2 linked regions of the Tamandua tetradactyla genome follow. The protein of the gene in region 1 purifies or fractionates together with the protein of each later gene. This does not show direct contact. Links are inferred from orthologs where the notes say so. Each region holds a gene or a part of one and is shown in the gene's direction. Other genes may lie near its edges. The genes, in order: SART3 and TUT1.

Evidence for each region.
Region 2: the proteins of SART3 (region 1) and TUT1 purify together in Homo sapiens (co-immunoprecipitation; 4 studies listed by BioGRID and IntAct, counting the BioPlex papers as one, with this or other methods). This does not show direct contact. The link is inferred for Tamandua tetradactyla from reciprocal best matches to the Homo sapiens genes SART3 and TUT1.

Annotation. Positions count from the first base shown.
Region 1 is NC_135331.1:22,829,380-22,840,105, forward strand, and holds the start of SART3 (spliceosome associated factor 3, U4/U6 recycling protein), read left to right. Parts: upstream 1-5,416; 5' UTR 5,417-5,445; coding exon 5,446-5,760; intron 5,761-10,726. Other genes in the region: iron-sulfur cluster assembly enzyme ISCU, read right to left, coding at 489-599, 1,492-1,605, 3,936-4,049. UniProt on the Homo sapiens protein: U6 snRNP-binding protein that functions as a recycling factor of the splicing machinery. Promotes the initial reassembly of U4 and U6 snRNPs following their ejection from the spliceosome during its maturation.
Region 2 is NC_135335.1:11,966,250-11,977,238, forward strand, and holds the start of TUT1 (speckle targeted PIP5K1A-regulated poly(A) polymerase), read left to right. Parts: upstream 1-6,434; 5' UTR 6,435-6,791; coding exon 6,792-6,873; exon of another isoform or gene 6,874-6,887; intron 6,888-8,304; coding exon 8,305-8,495; intron 8,496-10,989. Other genes in the region: metastasis-associated protein MTA2, read left to right, coding at 41-158, 269-332, 521-638, 947-1,049, 1,242-1,341, 1,505-1,693, 1,780-1,854, 1,970-2,028 and 7 more. UniProt on the Homo sapiens protein: Poly(A) polymerase that creates the 3'-poly(A) tail of specific pre-mRNAs. Localizes to nuclear speckles together with PIP5K1A and mediates polyadenylation of a select set of mRNAs, such as HMOX1.

The DNA of each region.
Region 1 (10,726 bases):
TACCATTAGGGACTGCTGGCCAGCCACCTGGACAATGATTCTGATTTGTTTTCTTTGCTCCATACCTTGCTGTTTTTTGATTCTTTATTCTCTCTCTTTAACACAGGCTAGTTTGATATTTCATGAATTTTTATAAACCATCTAGAATCCTTCCTGAAACATGGTGGGAGAAAAACAATAAAACAAACCACTACATACATCCTCTGACCTGACTTAGATGTGTAAGAAAAACACACATCTTTGGAACTTTAGAAAAAAACCAAAGACTTCTTTTCAATTCTATTTTGTCAGAAAGAGAGGTGAGGATCTTTTTTTTTTTTAATTAAATTAAAAAACAAACAAATGCCAAAAGCCCCAAACAAAATGATCAAAAACAAAAACAAATAGAAAAAAATCATGGTCACCTTTTTAACTCATTAGACCTTTTAATAACAGCCAAATTTCTGGAGATTATGATTTAATTATATCAAATTTACAAGCAACCTTACTGTTTTCCCTTTCACCCATTCAGTGGCTAACGAGCTGGAGGCAATTGCAGAACCACAGCCAAATGTTTTAAACCTGGCATCTACGATCTTCCCCTTTTCATCCACTTGAATCTAGAAAAAGATAAAGAGTTAAGCAGTGATTCCTGGTGCTGTCCTTCAGAACCTAGGGACCTGGGATTCACTGGGGCTCTCCCCAAAGCTTTGGTCTTGCATTCCACAGTTTAATTTTTGGCATTCAGTTACTGAGCTTGCTTCATTTCAAAGAGCTCAGTGATGGAAAGTTAAACTTAGAAAATACCACAACTACAAGATCAGTTGAAAAATATCTATCCCTTCCACTCTTTTTTTCCCAACCCTAGCCTGCTTTTTTTAGCGATGAAGTCCTATTTGAAAAAATATGCTTGAAGTTGCTGGAGTCAATCTGCTACTTCTTTAAACCCTGGGAGAAGCTGCAATAAAGTTCTCTTGTTGATACTTCTTTTTTCTTGAGCACCAAATTGCATTGGTAGTTCCTTCCTGCCTCGTTTCTGTTTTCTCAGATAGGCATGAAAAACCTCTGGCAAGCTCCCAACCACCATGATGAAATTGTAGATAAAGCTACAATTTACCTAAAGCACCAGCCACCTCATTCATGTTGCCTCTAATCTGGGGAGAGGTATGATTTTTTGCATTTCTTGCCCTATTGGATTGGGGCTTGCTAACCAAATAGTTGTGGTTTTCCTTTGATGAGTAAAATTCAAAAAACTTTTTACATAGCTGCAGCTGAAATTAAGAGTACAAAGGTGAGTTTGGTTTACTATTTCAGAAAAGGTCAGACATACAAACAGAGGAACTAAGATTCAGTCTCTGCTCTAATCATTTATAACATCAACTTGTGCCATCTCGCAGGAATAAAAATGGAGACCAAATGAAACGCTGTGTGTGCAGATGATTTTTAAACTGCAAAGCACTGTAAAAACAAAGGGATTACGTTATTACCTTTAAGGATGAAAACCAGCCATACCTGTAATTTCATTACATCACCGCAAGCTGGAGCCCCCACTAAGCCAGTACCAACATTTTTAGATGTCTTGTCAAGGGACCCCACATTTCTAGGATTTTCATAATGATCAACAACCTGAAATGAGAGGGTTAAGAGAATCATTATCACTCTTTTTCTTTTTGATTATGACATACTTTATGTAACTAATCCCTTGTTCTTTCTTTTAATTGTGAAAAGTAACATATATACAAAAAAGCAATAAATTTCAAAGCACACTGCAACAATTAGTTATAGAATAGATTTTAGAGTTTGGTATGGGTTGAAGTTCCACAGTTTTAAGTTTTTCCTTTTAGCTGCTCTAAGGCATTGGAGACTAAAAGAAATATCAGTATAGTGATTCAGCAGTCTGGCTCACTTAGTAAGTCCTATCTTCTCTGTTATAATTCCACATTCTCCTTTGATCTTTCTCCCAATCTTTAGGGGTATTTGAGCTATGCATATTCTGACTTTTTCATGTTGGAAAGGGCTGTAAATAATGTGGGTTGGGGGATGGAATTAGTTGATGATCTGGAGAGGCTGGCCCCTCTGCTTTCAGGATCATCTGGCCTAGGAACCCATCTGGAGGTTGTAGGTTTCTGGAAAGTAATCATAGTACATGGTACCTTTGTAGAATCTTATATAATGCTTTAGGTGTTCTTTAGGGTGGGCAGGAATGGTTTGGTTGGGGATTGGCAAACTATAATAAATAGCAATATCTAGCTGTGGCTTGGGTAAGAGTAGACTCCAGAGTAGTCTCTTGACTCTATTTGAACTCTCTGAGCCACTGATACCTTATTTGTTACAATTCTTTCCCCCCTTTTGGTCAGGATGGCACTGTTGATCCCATGGTGCTAGGGCCAGGCTCATCCCTGGGGATCACTCTTGATACTGGTCTCCTCGACATGAATTTAAGTTCCAGGAGGTAGGGAATTGAATCTTACTAATCCGTGTTCCCTCAAAGACTGGCACAAGGCCTGCAACCTGGCAGTCAACCTGTAAAAATACCAGTCTACACTCATGTCAACAAGGCTTTATTCATGACCCAAAGTCTTTTCGTATTTCCACTCCTATCTTCAGATTCTGTTTGAGATACTGGAGAAAAATCACCTAAATCATGTCTTGGTTTCATTAAGATTTTGTTTGTTTTGGCATGGGTAGGCACTGGGAATCAAACCCAGGTCTCCAGCATGGCAGGTGAGAACTCTGCCTGTTGAGCCACGGTAACCCACTCTCCATTAAGGTTTTTAATCACAAATGATTACTTCAACTTGTACCCATCCAAGTCATCAATTTAGGTTCAAGCAGCATTTTTGTTATTTCAAAATAAAATCCACTCTTAAAGGATAATGATTACAATTAGAAAATTCTAAAGTAACTATGTTTCAGAAATTGAAGTCCTTTCCAGAAGTTTCCACGTGACTTGTAGACACTCTGAAATCAGGCTGGTTAAACAGTGCACCCTGGTGGCTGAAAAGCTTTTAGCTTTAAATTCACTGAGTGTACTGTCAAAAAACACTGGTGTGTGTGCGGTGTGATAATCCTGAGCTGTGGGCAAATATGCAGAAACCAGACTAAATGTCCATTCAAACTGGCAAACAGAAGGCTTAAATAACGGTTAAGTGTCTTGATCTTCTTGTTTTCTTCCCTCTTCTATCCTTCCACGGATTTTAACATTAAGCCCAAGGACCCACAAAATAATATCTAATTTGGATATTGCCATATGTTGAATGCCAGCAATCTTTGCTTTTTTATCCCAATCCCAAGTGAAAGTCTCATCTCTAAGATACCTTAAACTCCCAGAAGGCAGGGCTGCAAACTTCGCAGCCCCCGGCCCCAAACCCAAAACGTAACAAAAACAAAAACATGATTATTGGTGACACGTCTGACTCCAACAGGAGGCTGTGTGCTCCAAAAAGGCAGAAACCAGTACTTCCATAAGGCCTACCTGAGATAATTTTACTACAACAGCAGCATTAATAGTTTTTATATGTTGAGCCTAAGAGCCAGACACCACACCGAGCACGTCACAAGCATCATCTCTTGTAAGAGGGGACTGCTAAGACCTCTATCTTATGAGTGTGGAAACTGAGGTTCAGCGAGGGGCAGTGACTCGCCCAAGGTCACTTAGCTAGGGCAGTGGTCTGGCTAAAGTGGATCCCTAGCGGTGGGGTGTAGCCCACCCGGGCTGCTGGGAAGTTTAAAGGCGCACTAAACAGCAGTCAGCTGCGAGGCCCACAGGAAGTAGCCGCTATTGTAAGCGTTATTATTTTGGTTTGTATTGCGGTTAGTGTTACTGCGCAGCGAGGAAAAGTTAGTCGAGACAGAAGACGGGAGAGGGGACGACCCCCCCACCGTCCCCTCTCCGTTCCTCACACTTACACTCCCCGGCCGGTGCGGGCCCTGTGCACCCCTTTACTCGTTCCTACCTTCTTGTGATAAAGCCGGGCCGGGGCGGACAGCTCCCGGGCGGGCAGGCGCTTGCTCTGCAGTAGCAAGGCCGACGTAGCCCGTCGTAGACGGCCAGCTCCGGCCGCCGCCATGTTGCGGGGACGCCCCTAACGCAAGCCCACACCGAGTCTGAAGCTGCGAAGCGCGCCGCCTACTTGACTCGGGACTTCGGATCCAAGGACGCGTCGCTTTACGTCCCGGCATCTTCGCGCTTGCGCACTTCCAATCCGCCCAGTCTGTTCTTTGGCTCTACCTTGGCCACGCCCCCCCAAGGGGCGGGGCGGGGCGCGGGAAGGTCTGAAGTTACTATAAGATCTTGTTTTTCGTGTTGGGTTCTGGATGCAGGAACGGGTTTAAGGTTTGAACGCTGTGCCCAAGCTTGAGCTGGCTAAGCTCACCGCTGGAATGCACAGATCACCCGATCCACTTTTCCTAACCTATTTTGCAGCCAAACAAGTTGAGGTTCAGAGAGGTTTAGTAACTCGCTCAAAGAGTTAGGTATACAGTTGGGATTCCAGCAAAGACAGTCCTGGGTTAGAATTCTGGTTCTGCGTCTTCCTGTCTCTGTGACTCTAAGCGAATGATATCAGGTCTTTATGATTTGGTCATCTGTTCTGATTTAAGGGGAATTTTTTCATCCACTCAGCACATACGTGTTGACTACGTACGTTAAGTCTCCATACCAGGCTTTGGGAATGCAACGAAAAGCAAAACATGTTTGCTCAAGACAATAAACAAGGAAACACGTCAATACTTTACTACCTCAAAAATGGGAAGTTTAATTAGAGAAACGAACACCATGCCCTGATTAAAAAAAAGCATGTATACATATATATAATATATAGTCTCCATATAGAAAATAACCGCAAACAACAAAATGTATATGGTAATCCCAGGCAACTGAGTTTCTCAATTAATGCTTGGTATTAACTTTTATTTTAATTAATATTTTAGATGTGCAGAATATGATTTTTTAAAACTAGACTCAGGAGTATTCGCATTACGTAAAGGGGAAGAATCGTTTCGGGCAATGCATTTTTCTCACGAGTAGCGCAGTCTATCCTTCCCGGAGGACGTGGAGTTTTCTCCGCGTTTGGGGCTCGGTTGCTGGGGAGACTAAACAACGAGCCATATCAGACCTTACTTTTAGTAAGGTCTCCGTTCCAAGAATTACTTTGACCTTCTCAAGATGGCGCCACAACCTCATTGCTCCCCCCCCACTTCCTGTCCAAACATCCAACTTCTGTCCGAAGTTGTAACGAAAGTCATGTTATATTAATGAGACTTTTCTGTGATGGGAGCTTTTATAAGTACATAAAAATAGTATTAATTGAGCGTATCTCGAGATTTTTCTGTCACTCGAGGCTCACAGCTTTCCTTTCGATCGCGAGAGAGCAGGGTTTTGGTCAGGCGCACGCCGCGGGCAGCTTCTACTTCCGTCGGTCTTCGGCGGCGGAGCGAAGACCCGAGAATTATCCGAGGCACAAAATGGCGACGGCGGCTGCAACCTCGGCTTCAGAATCGGAGGCTGAGCTCAAGGCTGGGCCCGAGGCTGAGGGAGAGGAGGATGAGGCTAAGGCGACGAGGACGAGGAGGAAGGTGTTATCTCGGGCTGTGGCCGCTGCGACATACAAGACCATGGGGCCAGAGTGGGATCAGCAGGAGGAAGGCGTGAGTGAGAGCGATGGAGACGAGGAATACGCCATGGCTTCCTCAGCCGAGAGCTCCCCCGGGGAGTACGAGTGGGAGTACGACGAAGAGGAGGAGAAGAACCAGCTGGAAATCGAGCGGCTGGAGGAGCAGGTGTGCTCGGGGGTGGGCAGCGGGCTCTTTCCCTCAGGTACCCGGGTCCGGGCTCGCCCCTCGTCCGACTGCGCTTGCTCGGGTACCTCTCCCGTCCGCAGCAGTAATGCCCCCAAGGCCGCAGTAACTCTTTTTCAGTCACCGTAGCGCCATCGTTTGAGCATTACCTGCGTGTGGGGCGCTTTCTAAGCGTATTCCATTAAATCCTAACAACGACCCAGTGAAGGAAATAGTGTATTCTCGTTTTAACTGGAGGAAACTGAGGCTTGTGGAGGGAAGTCTCTTGCTCAAGATTTCATGTCCTACAGGTGGCCAGTCAGGCTTTGAACGCTGAACCAACACCAGAACTCTCATTCTTAACCACACAGTTAAATTGCGTTCAACAGCAACAATAAATCTCATTTGTAAGAGAGAATAATTTTCCTGTAGGAAGGACAGCATTAATGAAATATGATGTAGTAGGAAAAATATTCACGGTAATCATGACAACAGAAATGGGAAGGTAGAAGTTTTGGCTCTCAAGGCTAAAGGCGCCAGTTCCGGCTATCATTTGGGCGATTTTCTTAAATTCTCTGAGTCTTTGCTTCCTGAATTGTAAATAGGGAGTGGCAATTTCTGTATCTTAGCATTGCCATGACAGTTATGATAGCCGAGTGCCTGGCAGCCAATGTCAACCAGATTGCTAATTTCTGAAGAGTCTTGGGAGGTGTAGGTGGTATTATCTCCTGTATAAATCAAGTCTCAGCAGGAAATAGATGGTACACTCAAGTTAGGATAATTTGAGGAAAGGTTGATAAAGGGACGGTTGCATTTATAAAAGTGTGGACCGGGAAATCAGGAGCAAAGTTTAGTACCATTTAATAATAGGAGGACTTTGTTTCCACCTTTAGACTTGAAGGGGCAAGGGGAGTGACATGTAGAAGAGATGGGTAGAGAGGGAACCTGAGAGGATTTGAGACCTTTGGTCAAGAGATGCAGCCTCAGTTTCCCGGCAGGAGTTGGGGTAGGGGAAGAAATACCCTGGCCTCCTTCTCCCTTGTCTCTCTCTCTCCTCCCTGTGAAAGTCTGCTGGGTGCTTCCTGCTGGGCAAACTCACCTGATTATTAGAGGGCTAGGGAATCTGTTAATGTGGTCAGCACAGGGCAGGGCAGAGGAGAGGGTGGATGAATTTGGAGGAAGAAACAGAAGAGATAGAGCACATTTCATTTTACTGATGAGGAAACAGAGGCTCAGAACAAATGATAAAGTGAGTTACTATTCAGAAGCTTTCAAAGTAGCCTCTGGATCAAATGCAACACTAGATGTGAAATCTCTCTGTGATATGAAGATTATTAACCTAGATTACTCATTTAATCTTATGGAGTGTAAGGTTAATGATAATTTTCCCTCTGGCATTGATATTTTTATGTTATGAAACAGTGATATTCTTTGGTTATCTTCTTCCACTTATCATTGCATCTCATTGTCAAAGGAACCAACCAGAGGTTAGAAGGCAGTTAACAATTTTCCTTTTTATAAATAAATATGCTGCAGTTTATTCAGTCTTTTATTCATTCAGCAAATACAGTGTGATTCTGGGTGCTAGGCTGACTGTTTCCCTGCCTACATTGAAATAATTTCTTCAAACTTCTAGTTCTGGGCCTTTTGATGAGCCAGCTCACTTTGACCTTACTGTTACATGAGGATCACCTGTTTTAGTAGGAAGGGAAGGCTTGGAATGGATATGAAGCCCTTGATCGTGCACAGTTTTACTAATGGGGAGGAGGGGTCAGAGTGAAGGTATGCTGGCAGTGGATGCTGTGCAGTTGCCTGCCTGACTTATATCTTTAGTTCACCTAGGTTGGTATGGAGCTTAGAAAGTGTCCACACAGTATGCGACCTTGTAAGTGATAGTGAGCTAAGGGTCTTTGGCCTTATCCTCTTTATCTTGGGCTTTAAAAATTTATTTTTCCAATATTTGCATACCTCCTTCCCACATCATTGTAATCCCACAGCCTCTAGTTCCTCCTGTAACTGCCCTTATAGTAGAGCATAATGACAAGTAACTTCCAAATAGGGCGGTGCAGATCTTGGCCTTGCCACATCTGCGTATTCCAGTTTTCGTTCTTGAGTTTATTTTATGCAGGCTTGTGATTTGCTGTGATATCTGTTCATGTAACAAAAACAAAGACTTTATATTAGTTGTGTTTTTGGGCTGAAACTAAAAGTAGCACCTCCTCGTGCCTTAAGCACATTTGTCAGTGTACCATGGTGCAGCACAAAGAGTATAGCTTTGCAAACTATACTCAAATCAGGTGATCCACTTACTAGTCAGAAGACCTTGGACAAGTTATTTCAAGTCTCTGAGCCTATTTTATCCCAGTTGGTAAAAAGGAGATTGTAGTAATGCCTCTCACAGGGCTTTAATGGGGGTTAAGTGACACAATGCATGTAAAATTGCCCAGTTTGGCTCTGCTATGCATAGTAGCTGCTATACAAAGGTTGGTTCCATTCTCTTTTCTCTGCTCTTCCTGTGGTTGCACCAGTTGTTTTCTTTCTACCACGCCTCTCATTTTTCTCCACGCTCATTCTAGGTTCAGATCAGTACTTTTCACACTGCTAGGAAGTTAGGACATCAGTGGATCATTTTGTACATTGGCTAAGCCCCCTCTTTAAAGCCTCCTTTGTCATTACTGGTATTCTGTGAGGCCAGCTAGACTAAAATGTGTATTCGTTTGTTAATACTGACTGAAATTTGTAGAAATGTCTTTTTAAATTGCATTTCAGTATGCATTTATTATTTTTATTTTGGGGTGCATGGTCCAGGAATTGAACCTGGGTCTGTCTCCTGCATGAAAGGCAAGCCATTCTACCACTGAACCTCCCATGTACCCTGTATGCTTTTAATAGATGTACTTTTAGAACACCTCTCCATGTGAAGTATCTTCATTATTTTAACCTCAGGAATGTATTTATTTGTTTAACATTTTTATTGCCAAATCTTCACACACATACAGTCTATACATGGTGTATGATCAGTGGCTCACAGTATCATCACATAATTGTGTATTCATCACCATGATCATTTTTAGAACATCTGCATCACCCCAGAAAAAGAAGAAAAAAGAAAAAACTCATATATCCCATACCCCTTACCCCCTCCCTCTCATTGACCACTAGTGTTTCAGTCTCTCCAATTTATTTTACCCCTCATCCCCCCTATTATTTGTTTATTTTTTACCCATCTGTTCATACTCTGGATAAAACTTTCATAATCACACAGTTGCATTTGAAAAGTTACATCTTTATACAATTGTATAAATTTGTCTTTATGCTCTTCTAGTGTTTTCTTGATATCCTTTGTCTCTTTAGCCAACTCATTGAAGTTATTTAGGTTTGCTTGAGTATCTTTGATTTGTTACTCCAAGTTCTGAATCACCTCTGACTTTTTAATTTGAGCATATTTTTTAATTTGACCAAATTCATATGGTTTTAATTTGATCAAATTCATATGGTTTGTGATTTTTTTTGTTAGCTTCTTGGCTTTGATTATCTTGATAAGGTTACTTTGAAAGTTGGTATGTTAGTCAGGGTTCTCTAGAGAAACAGAAGGAGCAGGAGAGATCTGTAAATAAGAAATTTATGAAGGTATCTCACTCAACCATGAGAATGGAAGGATCCAAAATCTGTAAGGCAGACTGTGAAGCTGGCAGCTCCAGTGAAGGGTCTAGATGCACTCCACAGGAGAGACTTGCTGGCTGAAGAAGCAGTTAAAGTGTCTCTCTTCTTCCTTAAAAGCCTTTTATTAATTGGAGTATCGATTGAGGGAGACACGCCGTAGTTGATTGCAGATACACCAGCCTTCCAGTTTATCAACCATACTGGACCTCATCATTTGACTGATTTGACACCAGGACCTAACCATCACAGTTGGTTTTCCTCACTCATCTAGTGTTTTGTTTTTGCTTGGATTTGTGTTGTCCGTCATTCCCAGCCAAACCAAGGCCAGTGCCTAACTTGGAGTGAAATCCTTTTTAGAAGACTGTTGGACAGTGGACAGATTGCCAGACTGTACTTTCTCAGTCTTCCGAGAAGATGGCGCTCTTGGGCCACCTCTTCCCCACAACTGTGCCTCTTCCTCACTGTGGCATCTGGCTGGGCATGGTCCAGACCAGTCAAGGCCGCAGGTTCCTGGGTGTGCTGGAAGCCACCTCCTCTGGGTGTGGGGTCTGGGAGTGGGCACTGTGCACCACGATGAAGACTACAGCTTGTAGGTGCAATGGATCTGGTGATTCCCAGATTCCTATGTGGAAAGACTCCAGGCTGCGGGACTGAGAGGTTGAACTTCATCAGCCAGCCCAGGAGTGTTCTGCTTTCTGCCGGCCAGCAAGACCATCTCAGATGTGGGGGAAGGGTGCCTGGCATTGCCATGCAGCCCTCTTGCCCCCACCTCTCTGCCCATGTATGCAGTGAGCACCCTAAGCCCCTGGGTAGCTAAGATCGAGGCAGTGGGACCCAGAGTGTACCAGCCAATTGTCAGATCAGTTCTGCTCTGAGTTCCCCTCTTCCGAGGGTAGGGCTTCCCAGACTCCCCCAAGTCCAGGTGCCTCAGTGACCTGCCTCAGGGATGGGGGTAGGCACTGAGCACCACATTGGGGTCTCTGTGTGGATAAAATGAGTCTCGTGGGAACGCTATGCTGGATTACTGAGAGGATTGCCTCCCCCTCCTCTCTGAAGTAGGGGTGTGCTGTATTTCAGCTGCTGATCTGGCTGTTGCTCAGTGGTGGACCTTTGGGGGGGAGGTCGCGATTGAGTACACTTACTCCAATTTCTCAGGTGTAGTTTCTCTGCTTTTCTATCCAGGTCTTTATGGTACAGAGGTTCTTCTCTGCTCACCCAGACTCTGAACCTGCGGCTTTGGTTGTTTTCTGCCTGTTCACTAGTTGTTTTAGGGTGGAGGAGTGAGTTCTGTCTTTCCTATTCTGCC
Region 2 (10,989 bases), on another chromosome or scaffold:
ATTGGTTTCTGACTTCGTTTCTTCCTCCTTAATCTCCCAGGGGAGTTTGAGGAGGAATCAAAGCAGCCAGGGGTATCAGAGCAGCAGCGACATCAACTGAAACACCGGGAGCTTTTCCTTTCTCGGCAGTTTGAATCGTTACCAGCCACCCACATACGGTATGGGACAATTAAGGCCAGTGTGGTCTGCGTGCACTTTATAGAAGATGGAGATGCTGTGGAGAGGGAGTGAAGGGCTCACCTGGGGTTTTCTGATCTCTCTCCTGCAGAGGGAAATGCAGTGTGACCCTCTTGAATGAGACAGATATCTTGAGCCAGTACCTGGAAAAGGAGGTGAGGGAGAGGCTTGTGTTGGGAGAAGAGGGAAGGAATGGGTATTGCCCCCAAAATGCAAGCTGGTAGTAGGACTGTGATAAGATACAGGGCTGACAGACTCTATCTTAGGAATTCTGGACACTCCCAACTGTCCTCTGCCACCCTGTGATTGCCACCCTGTTTACCTTCTCTTTCCCCATTTCCAGGACTGCTTTTTTTATTCACTGGTGTTTGATCCCGTGCAGAAGACACTTTTAGCTGATCAGGGGGAGATCAGAGTTGGTTGCAAATACCAAGCTGAGATCCCAGATCGCCTGGCAGAGGGTAAGCAGCAGGACAGAATGCATGTTTACTGAGTTATGTAATATCTGAGGTGCACTTTACCATCATAGTCTGTGGATGATTTCCCTTGTGTATTCTGCATGACTCTGTGCTATGACCCTGATAGAATGGGGCCTTGGGAACTTGAAAGGGGAAAAGGGGCACAGTTGAGAAGAGCAGTCTCTGAGAGTTGAGGTGGGTAGTGGGATCCAAACAGGGGAAGAAGAGGTAGGAGGTGCTATTGTGAGTGATAAAACACCAATTATGCTCCCCTTCCCTCTCCCCAATGATGCCCTTGGCTCATTTTCTAGGAGAATCAGATAATCGGAACCAACAGAAGATGGAGATGAAGGTCTGGGACCCAGACAACCCTCTCACAGACCGGCAGATTGATCAGTTTCTCGTGGTGGCCCGGTGAGGGGTGGGTGGATGGGGCTGATGGGCTGGGGGAGGTGTGGGCATAGCCCTAAGTCTCACTCTTGGAGATGGGATATTGTTATTTTTGCTTTGGCATAGGTTTTTCCCTTCTTTCTCATTTGGCATAGTGCCTAAGTCTACTCAAATTTTCTTCTTCCTTCCCTTCTGACTTCTAAATCTCTTCCTCAGAGCTGTCGGGACCTTTGCAAGAGCCCTAGATTGCAGCAGTTCTATTCGGCAGCCAAGCCTGCACATGAGTGCAGCTGCTGCCTCCCGAGACATCACCCTGGTGAGCAGAAATATGGCGGGTAATTGGGGAGGCTGGGCTCTGTGGGTACTTGCAGCGCCTAGGGACAGGAACACAGGGTGTCTCCAAGGGAGTGGGAGAGTTTAAGTAGCTGCGGGGGAATAGTGCCAGGGGTCATCAGCATTGTTCCCCACTGTCCCTTCAGTTTCATGCAATGGATACACTGCAGAGGAATGGCTATGACCTGGCTAAAGCCATGTCGACCCTGGTGCCTCAGGGGGGCCCAGTGCTGTGCCGGGATGAGATGGAGGAATGGTCTGCCTCAGAGGCCATGCTATTTGAGGAGGCCCTGGAGAAGTATGGGAAGGATTTCAACGATATTCGCCAGGACTTTGTAAGTGGATGTGTCTAGGAGGAGAGGTGACAGGTGAGGGAACCAGGATCTAGGGGCCAGATCTTCTTTCATCCTTCTGTCCTTAGCTACCCTGGAAGTCACTCGCCAGCATAGTCCAGTTTTACTACATGTGGAAAACCACAGACCGCTATATTCAGCAGGTAAGAACTAGGGTGGGGAGGTTGGACTAGTGGCCTCTCACTCAACTCTGCCTTTCAAGTTGGTGACTTCTTCCCTGCCAAGGCTGATCCTTTTCTTTCTTTTTACCTCTTGTAGAAAAGATTGAAAGCTGCTGAAGCAGACAGTAAATTGAAACAGGTCTACATCCCTACCTAGTAAGTGTGGTGGGTAGGGGAGACTGGATATATTTTCCTTCTTTTTGCCCAAACTGTGATTTCCTCGGTGATAGGGGCAGGCAGAAGGCAGGGTTCGATTATGTTAATGTTAGAGACAGGGCAGAAATAAATTCTTTTCCTTGATCAGTTTCTTGGTTTCTTCCCCCTGTCACTCCTATTAGCACTAAGCCAAACCCTAACCAGATCATCTCTGTGGGCTCAAAACCTGGCATGAATGGGGCCGGATTCCAGAAGGGCTTGACCTGCGAGAGCTGTCACAGTGAGTTCAAGGGAAGGACTCGGATGCCAGGGGTGGGTGGGAGGCCTGCTTTGGCTTGAGAACTCTTTCCTCCTTGACCTCCCACTCATCTCTATGTTTCTGCAGCCACACAGTCTGCTCAGTGGTATGCCTGGGGCCCACCCAACATGCAGTGCCGCCTCTGTGCTTCCTGTTGGATCTACTGGAAGAAGTATGGGGGACTGAAGACCCCAACCCAGCTTGAGGGGGCTGCTCGGGGCACCACAGTAAGAATTGATGGCAGACAGGCAGGGGAGAGGAGTAAGCATGATGATATGAGACTTAGAAGGTCAGAATACCCATTTCTTTATCCAGTGATGGCTTGCCAGGGAAAAGGGGGCAGAGCTGATAGTGGTCAGGGAGCCAGTAGTTCGGGATGGCAGTAAAAAGGTGAGGCAAGAATAAATTCACCCTCTGCAGAGAATGGAAGAAAGAAGGGAGTCTCGGTGCTGATTTTCATTCTCCCCTTTTCCTATGCCCTTCCCCCAGGAGCCACACTCGAGGGGTCATTTGTCCAGACCTGAAGCTCAAAGTCTCTCCCCCTATACGACCAGCGCTAATCGGGCCAAGCTGCTGGCCAAGAACAGGCAGACATTCCTGCTCCAAACCACAAAGCTGACCCGTCTTGCCAGGCGCATGTGCAGGGACCTGTTACAGCCAAGGAGGGCAGCCCGGAGACCCTATGCCCCTATCAATGCCAATGCCATCAAGGCAGAGTGTAAGCGCAGGATGATGGGGCTAGTGACGGGGTCGGGGTTTTTCTGGCTCGAGACCAGTGTTTCTCTGCATGTTTAACGACTGTAGTCTTAGAGGTTTATTAAGAGATTGGACATGGCTCCTGGTCTCAGAAGTAGCTGAATAGTGAAGCCTCAATCTTTGTGTTCTAGGTTCCATTCGACTTCCTAAGGCTGCCAAGACTCCATTGAAAATTCATCCTCTGGTTCGGCTGCCCCTGGCAACTATCGTCAAAGATCTGGGTATAGGATGGGCTGCCAGTTAGGGTGGGCTCAAGCTCTGGCTCCTTTTACTATAAGAGTAAAGTAGTACTCCTCTGCTTTTTTCCCCCATTGAATCCTAAAAGATTTAGTTTAACAAACTGTACTTTTATAGCTTAATAATGGTTTCCCGTAAGCTATACAGTGTTACCACACTGACTTGATAAGGTTGCAGTCCTGATCTCTGAAGTACTGGTAATACCTCTCCAGACCCTCCCTATCACTCCTTTTGGCAATGCCTGGGAAAATTGCTGCCACAGGGAAAGAGGTGGAGGTGAGAAAAGGAAACTGCATAGGGGAAAGAAGGTGGCAAAAGTTTTCTAAGTTTTCCTTTATTTTTTCCTGGCAGTGGCCCAGGCTCCTTTGAAACCCAAAACCCCTCGAGGCACCAAGACACCAATCAACAGGAACCAGCTGACCCAGAACCGGGGCCTGGCAGGCATTATGGTGAAACGAGCCTATGAGACCGTGAGTTGGCAGACTGGGGCTGGCCAAGACTAACGTGGGTGGGTTTTTATTTCTGGTAGGAGCCTCAGAGGGCCCCCACCCTCATTGTGCTGCCACACCCCTTTCCAGATGGCAGGGGTCCCCTTCTCTGCCAATGGAAGGCCTCTGGCCTCAGGGATTCGCTCAAGCTCACAGCCAGTAGCCAAGCGCCAGAAACTTAACCCAGCTGATGCCCCCAATCCTGTGGTGTTTGTGGCCACAAAAGATACCAGGTAGGGAACCCACCATGAGAGGGGCTTAGAGGTTGATGAGCCAAGTGGGTGGGTATGGGAAATAAGAACCCAGCAAGACCAGCGTCAGAAAGACTGTGGGTGTGGGGTGGGGAGTGTGTATGTGTGTGTGTTAGAAAAGAATGAACAGGAAGGCAGAACTGGAGGGTGGGGTTTCTTCTTGGGGAGTCTTAGCCTTTCTAAGCTCTCTGTATTCCTGTCTTCATCTTTCTGGCCAGGGCTCTGCGGAAGGCCCTGACCCACTTGGAAATGCGGAGAGCTGCCCGCCGACCCAATTTGCCCCTGAAGGTGAAGCCTCCGCTGATTGCAGTGCGGCCCCAAGTGCCTCTACCTGCACCTGCACATCCTGCCAGCACCAATGAGCCCATTGTTCTGGAGGATTGAGCATCTGTGGGGAAGGGAAGTGGGCTGAAAGGTAGAGGGTGGGTCCTCAGGGCACTCAAACCTCCCTTCTCTCTGGTATCTAAGAGAGTGTGGAGGGAAGGAAGAAGGGAGGAAGCAAGTGTGGGCGTGTCCCTGGAAGAGAAAGACGCCCTCTGGTGTCACCACCACTAAGCTTGTCTCCTTCCCATGCTTCTCCAAGCCTGGTGATGGAGGGCAGTCTGCAGGAAACTGGCCCTTGTGGGGAACCTGGCCTCTTTTGGGGGGATAGGACCCACAGTTTGTCTTGGACAGTTTTGGGGGGAGGGTTTTTTAATTTTTTAAAAATTTTGCCTCCCTTTGTGAAAGGGGATGGAGGGGAGGGGAAGAGTAAACAGGTATCAGGTGGCAGTACCTGGTTGGGGGAGGGGGGCATGCGCTGCCATGTCTATCTTATTTTTATTTTTTTTCTAATTGGGGGTTTCTCTTCGTGTCCGGTGTCCGGACTTTCCTAATTGGAGTTTGAGGCCCCTAAACTGGCATCAACCCCAGCCCATGCTCACTCTTTCCTTTCCTCTTCTCCCCTCCCCCCTTCTGCCTTTTGTACACCAACTCAGAAATAAAGATCTTTTGTCTGTTTTTTTTAATCTTGGAATTCTGTAATTGGTTCTTATAGTAACAAATAAAAAGCTGTTTTCTTCAGTCCCTCCAGGCTCAGCTCTTCTCTGCCATAGATGTAGGGAGGGAGGTCCAGGAGGGGGGGTGTGGGAAAATAAAGGACAAAGAACAATAAAGGAGATACAGATTGGGCTTGCCCTGGGAACCACTTCTTTATGAGATTATGCACACTGGACTCAGGCTGTCTACTCCAGCCAGCCTTCTTGTAGGACACAAACTGCTCCCCTGTTCCCAGTGGTGCTGGAACTAATGGACCATCTTGGCCCAGGTTCAAAGCAGTTGGGATGAACTGGCTCTCTGGGCGGCTGGTGGCTTCCACAGGAGGGGGTTGTGAGCGTGGTCTTTTCTCTGTTTTCCCAATTCTTACTCTTCTCTCTGCTCAGGGAATTCTGGGAGTTGCTAGAGGCCAGGGGATGTAGTCCACTCTGGAGTGTACCGCAGGATCCTACTACCCAGTAACGGCTGTTCTCACACACTGCTGCTTCAAGATCTTGAGGGCTGGTCTCAGCAACTGCCTAGCTATGAGGGCCCACTGTCCTCTGCGGTTTTAGGTTTGGGTGAAGCCCAATAGGAAGAATACTTTAGGAGAGAGGACAAGGTCAGTCTGTGTGTGCTTTGGGCACTCCTTTAGAGATGGGGAGTGGCAGTTGTGACTTGGTCAAAGTTACAGACCGCAGTATGCCTGCCTCAGGTCCGCTGCTCTTTCCACCATCCAAAGGTGGGGGCTGGTAACCACAGCACAAGCTGTTTATCCCATCGAATGGTCCCCTTCATCCACTACACGAGGAGTTGGCTCACACCTCCGAGGTGTTAGGGGAGGAAGTGAACACTATGCCAGTCTGGGGGTCAGCAGCACATCCCCCCTCTACTGTCCTCGTTCGGCTGCTACCACAGCTGGTTCCTGCGCACTGCCCTGTTGTGGGCCGGAGGTTCTGCAGCCTCCTGAATATACACTGCGGAGGTCACTGCTACGGAAGGCAAGTCGGTGCAGGGACGAGCCTGGCCCACCCGGGCCGCAGCGAGTGATCGCCGGAGTCCGGAAGGAAAGCGCACAGAGCTCCCACCCGAGACTAGGAGGCGGCTGCCGCACACCCATTTTCGGGGGGAGGTCCGTGGACGGAGGGAGAGGGTAAACGCCCCGAGATTGGGAGTCCAGGGAGAGCCGTAGGCTTCGTGGGCCCAAAGCGTGGAGGCTGCCCATCCTCCGCCTTTATTCGCGGGGTGGATGTGGGGCTGGATGTGGGCACCCGCGCGAGGGTCGCGACTGCCCCTTGAAGTAGCGGCTCACGACCGGCGGCTCACGACCGCAGCCCCGCCATCCGGCAGCAGCAGAGCCGGCAGCCGCAGGGGACCCAGTCCCCACTCCCGCCCGCGCCTGCCTTGGCAGCTGAGTTAACAATAGCCACGATCCTCCGGACCAATCAGCGCCTGATCATGCAGAACACACCAATCGGCTTACCGAAAGCAAGATAAGCATCGCAGAAGGGAGGCTTTTCCTAAAGCCGGTGGCGACTTCGTACAATCAAGAAACGGAACCTTGACCTCGGTTTCCGGGGGGAACGTGCCCGAGCGAGTGCCGATTACGTCACTTCCTATCAGACCGGCGGAAGTTGTTTTCCAGCGCGTTGTGATTTGGAGGAGTGAGTTCCGGTGGAGGCAGGAGCGGTAGATTTTTGTCGGTACGTGAGAGGCGCAATGGCGGCGGTCGGTTCGGACGTCCAGTCGCTGCCGCGTGGGGCTTTCCGCTGCTGCCTCTGCCAAGTTACCACAGCTAACCGTAAGGGGTGGATAGTGAGGGGGAGGGGATGTGGCTGGGGTCTTTAGTCTTTTGGCCCCAGCGAAAGTTAGGGTTAAAGGTCATTGTCCCTGTCAGGTCGGTTGTTGGAGTCACTCACCTCCGTTGTCAAAAGCCACCTCCCGACCGAAATCCCCACGAGGAAAGTTCCATTGTTTTCTCTCTTTCTCTCTCTCTTTTTTTTTTCGCATGGGCAGGCACCGGGAATCGAACCGGGTCTCCGGTATGGCAGGCGAGATTTCTGCCACTGAGCCACCGTCGCACCACCCTGTTTTCTATTTAATAGTGATTTATTTAATAGTCATCTGTGCCTGGTACTTTGTTGGGTTCTGGGGTGAAGGAGGGGATTTAGAGATGAAGGAATTGAGCATCCAGAGAAGGAAACCGTTTCAATACTCTGTAGATAATGTCTGGAAAGCTGTGGATAACAGAGACAGCAGCAATTGGGAGTCAGGGAACCCTTCTAGAGGAGCTGCCGAAAGCAGGGATGTGTGAAATAGCATGGTTATGTTTGTGAGATTCTGCATGACTGGAGCGTAGAGCACCAGCAAGCAAGAAGATGAGTTTGGAAATCTAGACAGGGTTCTTGCATGACTTTCAAAGGGGTTGAGTGAAACCTCAGATTCTATTGATGAAGTCTAGAATCATAATCTTGCCTGTAGAGAATCTTCTTCCATTCTTCCCTCTCTGTGTGGATGACACTATTACTATTTGTCCAGTAGGGCAAGCCAGAAACCCAGAAGTCATTAAATCTTCCCTGGCTCCATACCTACCTTGGTGGCACTAAGGAGCAGACTTAGATATAATAAAAATAATAATAGAAGCTATCTTTTTCTACATTTACTGTGTACTTGACTCTGCCAGTTGTATATATGAATAGTACCAATGTGGGTAGGTATATTATTATCCCCATTTTATATCTGGGAAAACTGAGGCACAAGAGGCTCAGTAACTTGCCTGAAGTCTCTATGGCTTTATAGAGCTGGGATTTGAACTTGGGCAGTTTGGTTCCAGATCTTGCCCTTAAAAGCAGTACATGCTAAGTACCCAGAAATGATTCATGGGGAATAGTCCATAGTGCAGATTAATTTAATTCTTTATATGACCTGGATAAATTGCCTGTTAATTGCTATACATTTTTTTAGGTGCCACTGTACCTAGCACTTATGGATGTTTTAAGAAATATTTATAGTGTAGCCACTTCCCCAAAGAACCACTTAGAGAGTGCAGCATATAGAAAAATGAACAAGAGAGGAAGATGAAAGAAGAAGGGGACCAGGACTTTTTTTATTCAGAAGTTACACTTTCTGTGGCTTTGAAGGGTCAGTAAAGGTTTAGGTGTGCAGAGAACAAAAGCAGAAACAGGTACACTGAAGAGTGATTTGATGTTTTGTCTCATACTTGCCTTTGCAGGGCCCAGCCTAGATGCTCACTTGGGAGGCCGGAAGCACCGGCACTTGGTAGAACTACGAGCTGCCCGAAAAGCCCAGGGACTTCGGAGTGTGTTTGTCAGTGGCTTTTCGCGGGATGTGGATTCTACTCAGCTTTCTGAATACTTCCAGGCATTTGGACCTGTGGCCAGTGTCGTCATGGACAAAGACAAGGTAGAATGCATGACTCTGGGAATGAAGAATGAGTCTGATGTGCTACTTCCCAAAAGAAACCCGAGAGAGCAGTTGCTTCAGCTGGTTTCTCATATGGCTTGTCCTTGATGGGATACCACAGTATTTGCCCTAGTCCAGCTTTGCAAACTCCTCCCCTGCTTGGAGTTTTATCAGTTCAGAATTAGTCATTAGGAGACTTGTCATTATTTATTCAATCAACTTTTATTCACCAAATATTTATTTGTGTCAACTTTGTATTAGGCACTGTGCATAGACTTGCATTCTGGGTAGTGAGCTGGGATAGGCATGGTTTCTGCTTGCCCAGAGCTTACAGTCTAGAGGAGAAAGGAGACAATTAAAACAGGTGCTTTAAGACTATACCATCTGGGGACCTATCCTAACCCCACAAGAGACTGGTTGGTAAATCAGTTGTCAGTTTATTACTTTACACTGAGAGGTACTGAGGTTATCTGGTCCGAACATCCTGCTCTGGTCAGTGCTAAGCAAACAAACTTGTTCTTTGTGGTCTTGCATTCATGCAGACCTTTTGTCATTGTCCCTTTCATCCCTTGAAAAAGATTTACTGTTGGAATGTTGCTCTCTTTGATCAAATTGTAGTTCTGAGTCTGCATTTTGGTTAAGTAGATGTGGCTTAGGTGAGACCCAGGTCTCCTTTGCAGCCCAGGTCTTGTCTTAGGATGGGATCTGCTTTTGTTAGAGATTGCATTCAGCAACCTAACTTCAGTGGCTTAAACAAGTGAATTTAATTTTTTTCATACAACAAGAAGTCAGGCCTGGGTAGTCCTGGGTTTTAATGCCTGCCTTTTCATATGCCTTCTAGCCATTTGTATTTCTTCTTCTGATAACTGTCTATTTTTGCCTCTTGCTCGTTTTTAAATTAGATTGTTTGTTTTTTTGTTGTTGAGTTGTAGAATCTCTTTATATATTACGGATATTAAACCCTTATCTGATATTTGATTTCCAAATATTGTTTTCCATTGCTTAGGCTGCCTTTTCACTTTCTTGACAAAGTTCTTTGATGCACAAAAGTTTAATTTTGGGGTTCGTTTCCAGGTGCCTGACCATGCAAAAAAAAAAAAAGTGTTTAATTTTGAGGAGATCCCATTATCTGTTTCTGTTTTCATTGCTCATGCTTCTAAAAGTTTTGTGGTCTTAGTTCTAATATTTAGATCTTTGATCCATTTTTGAGTTAATTTTTATTTAGGGTGTGAGATATAGATCCTCTTTCCTTCTTTTGCATATGGATACCCAGTTCTCCAGACACCAATTATTGAAGAGACTGCTCTGTACAATTTGGGTTGGCTTGACTGTCTTATGAAAGATCAGTTGTCCATAGATGAGAGGATCTATTTCTGAGCACTCAATTAGATTCTGTTGGTCATTATATCTTATCTTTATCTTTATGCCAGTACCATGCTGGTTTTTTTTTTTTTTACATTTTTAAATTTTATGAGTTAAAAAAATTACAAGAAACAAACATTCCCAACACATACACTCAGCAATTCACAATATCATCACATAGATGCATATTCATCATCATCATCATTTCCCAGAACATTAGCATCAATTCAGAAAAAGAAATAAAAAGACAACAGAAAAATATAACAAACAGAAAAAAAAAATTTTACAGGCCATACCCCTTACTGATCCCTTTCATTGATCACTAGCATTTCAAACTAAATCTGTTTTAACATTTGTTCACCCTATTATTTATTTTTGTTCCATATGTTCTACTTGTTTCCTGACAAGGTACATAAAAGGAGCATCAGATATAAGGTTTTCACAATCACACAGTCACATTGGGAAAGCTATATCATTATACAATCATCATCAAGAAACATGGCTACTGGAACACAGCTCTCCATTTTCAGGCAGTTCCCTCCAGCCTCTCTGTTACATCTTGGATAACAAGGTGATATCTACTTAATGCATAAGAATAACCTCCAGGATAACCTCTCGACTCTGTTTGGAATCTCTCAGCCATTGACACTTTGTCTCATTTCACTGTTCCCCCTTTTGGTCAAGAAGGTTTTCTCAATCCCTTGATGCTGGGTCTCAGCTCATTCTAGAGTTTTTCTCAATCCCTTGATGCTGAATCTCAGCTCATTCTGGGATTTCTGTCCCACACTGCCAGGAAGATCCATAACCCTGGTAGTCATGTCCCACGTAGACAGGGGGAGGGTGGTGAGTCTGCTTGCTGTGTTGGCTGCAGAGAGAGGCCACATCTGAGCAACAAAAGAGGTTCTGTTGGGGGTGACTCTTAGGCTTAATTTTAAGTAGGCTTGACCTATCCCCTGTGAGGTTAAGTTTCATATGAACAAACCCCAAGACTGGGGGCTCAGCCTATAGCTTTGGTTGTCCACACTGCTTGTGAGAATATCAAGAATTCAACTTGGGGAAGTTGAGTTTTCCCCCATTCTCACCCTTCCCGGAAGGGGACTTTGCAAATACTTTTCCACTCACTGATCAGATC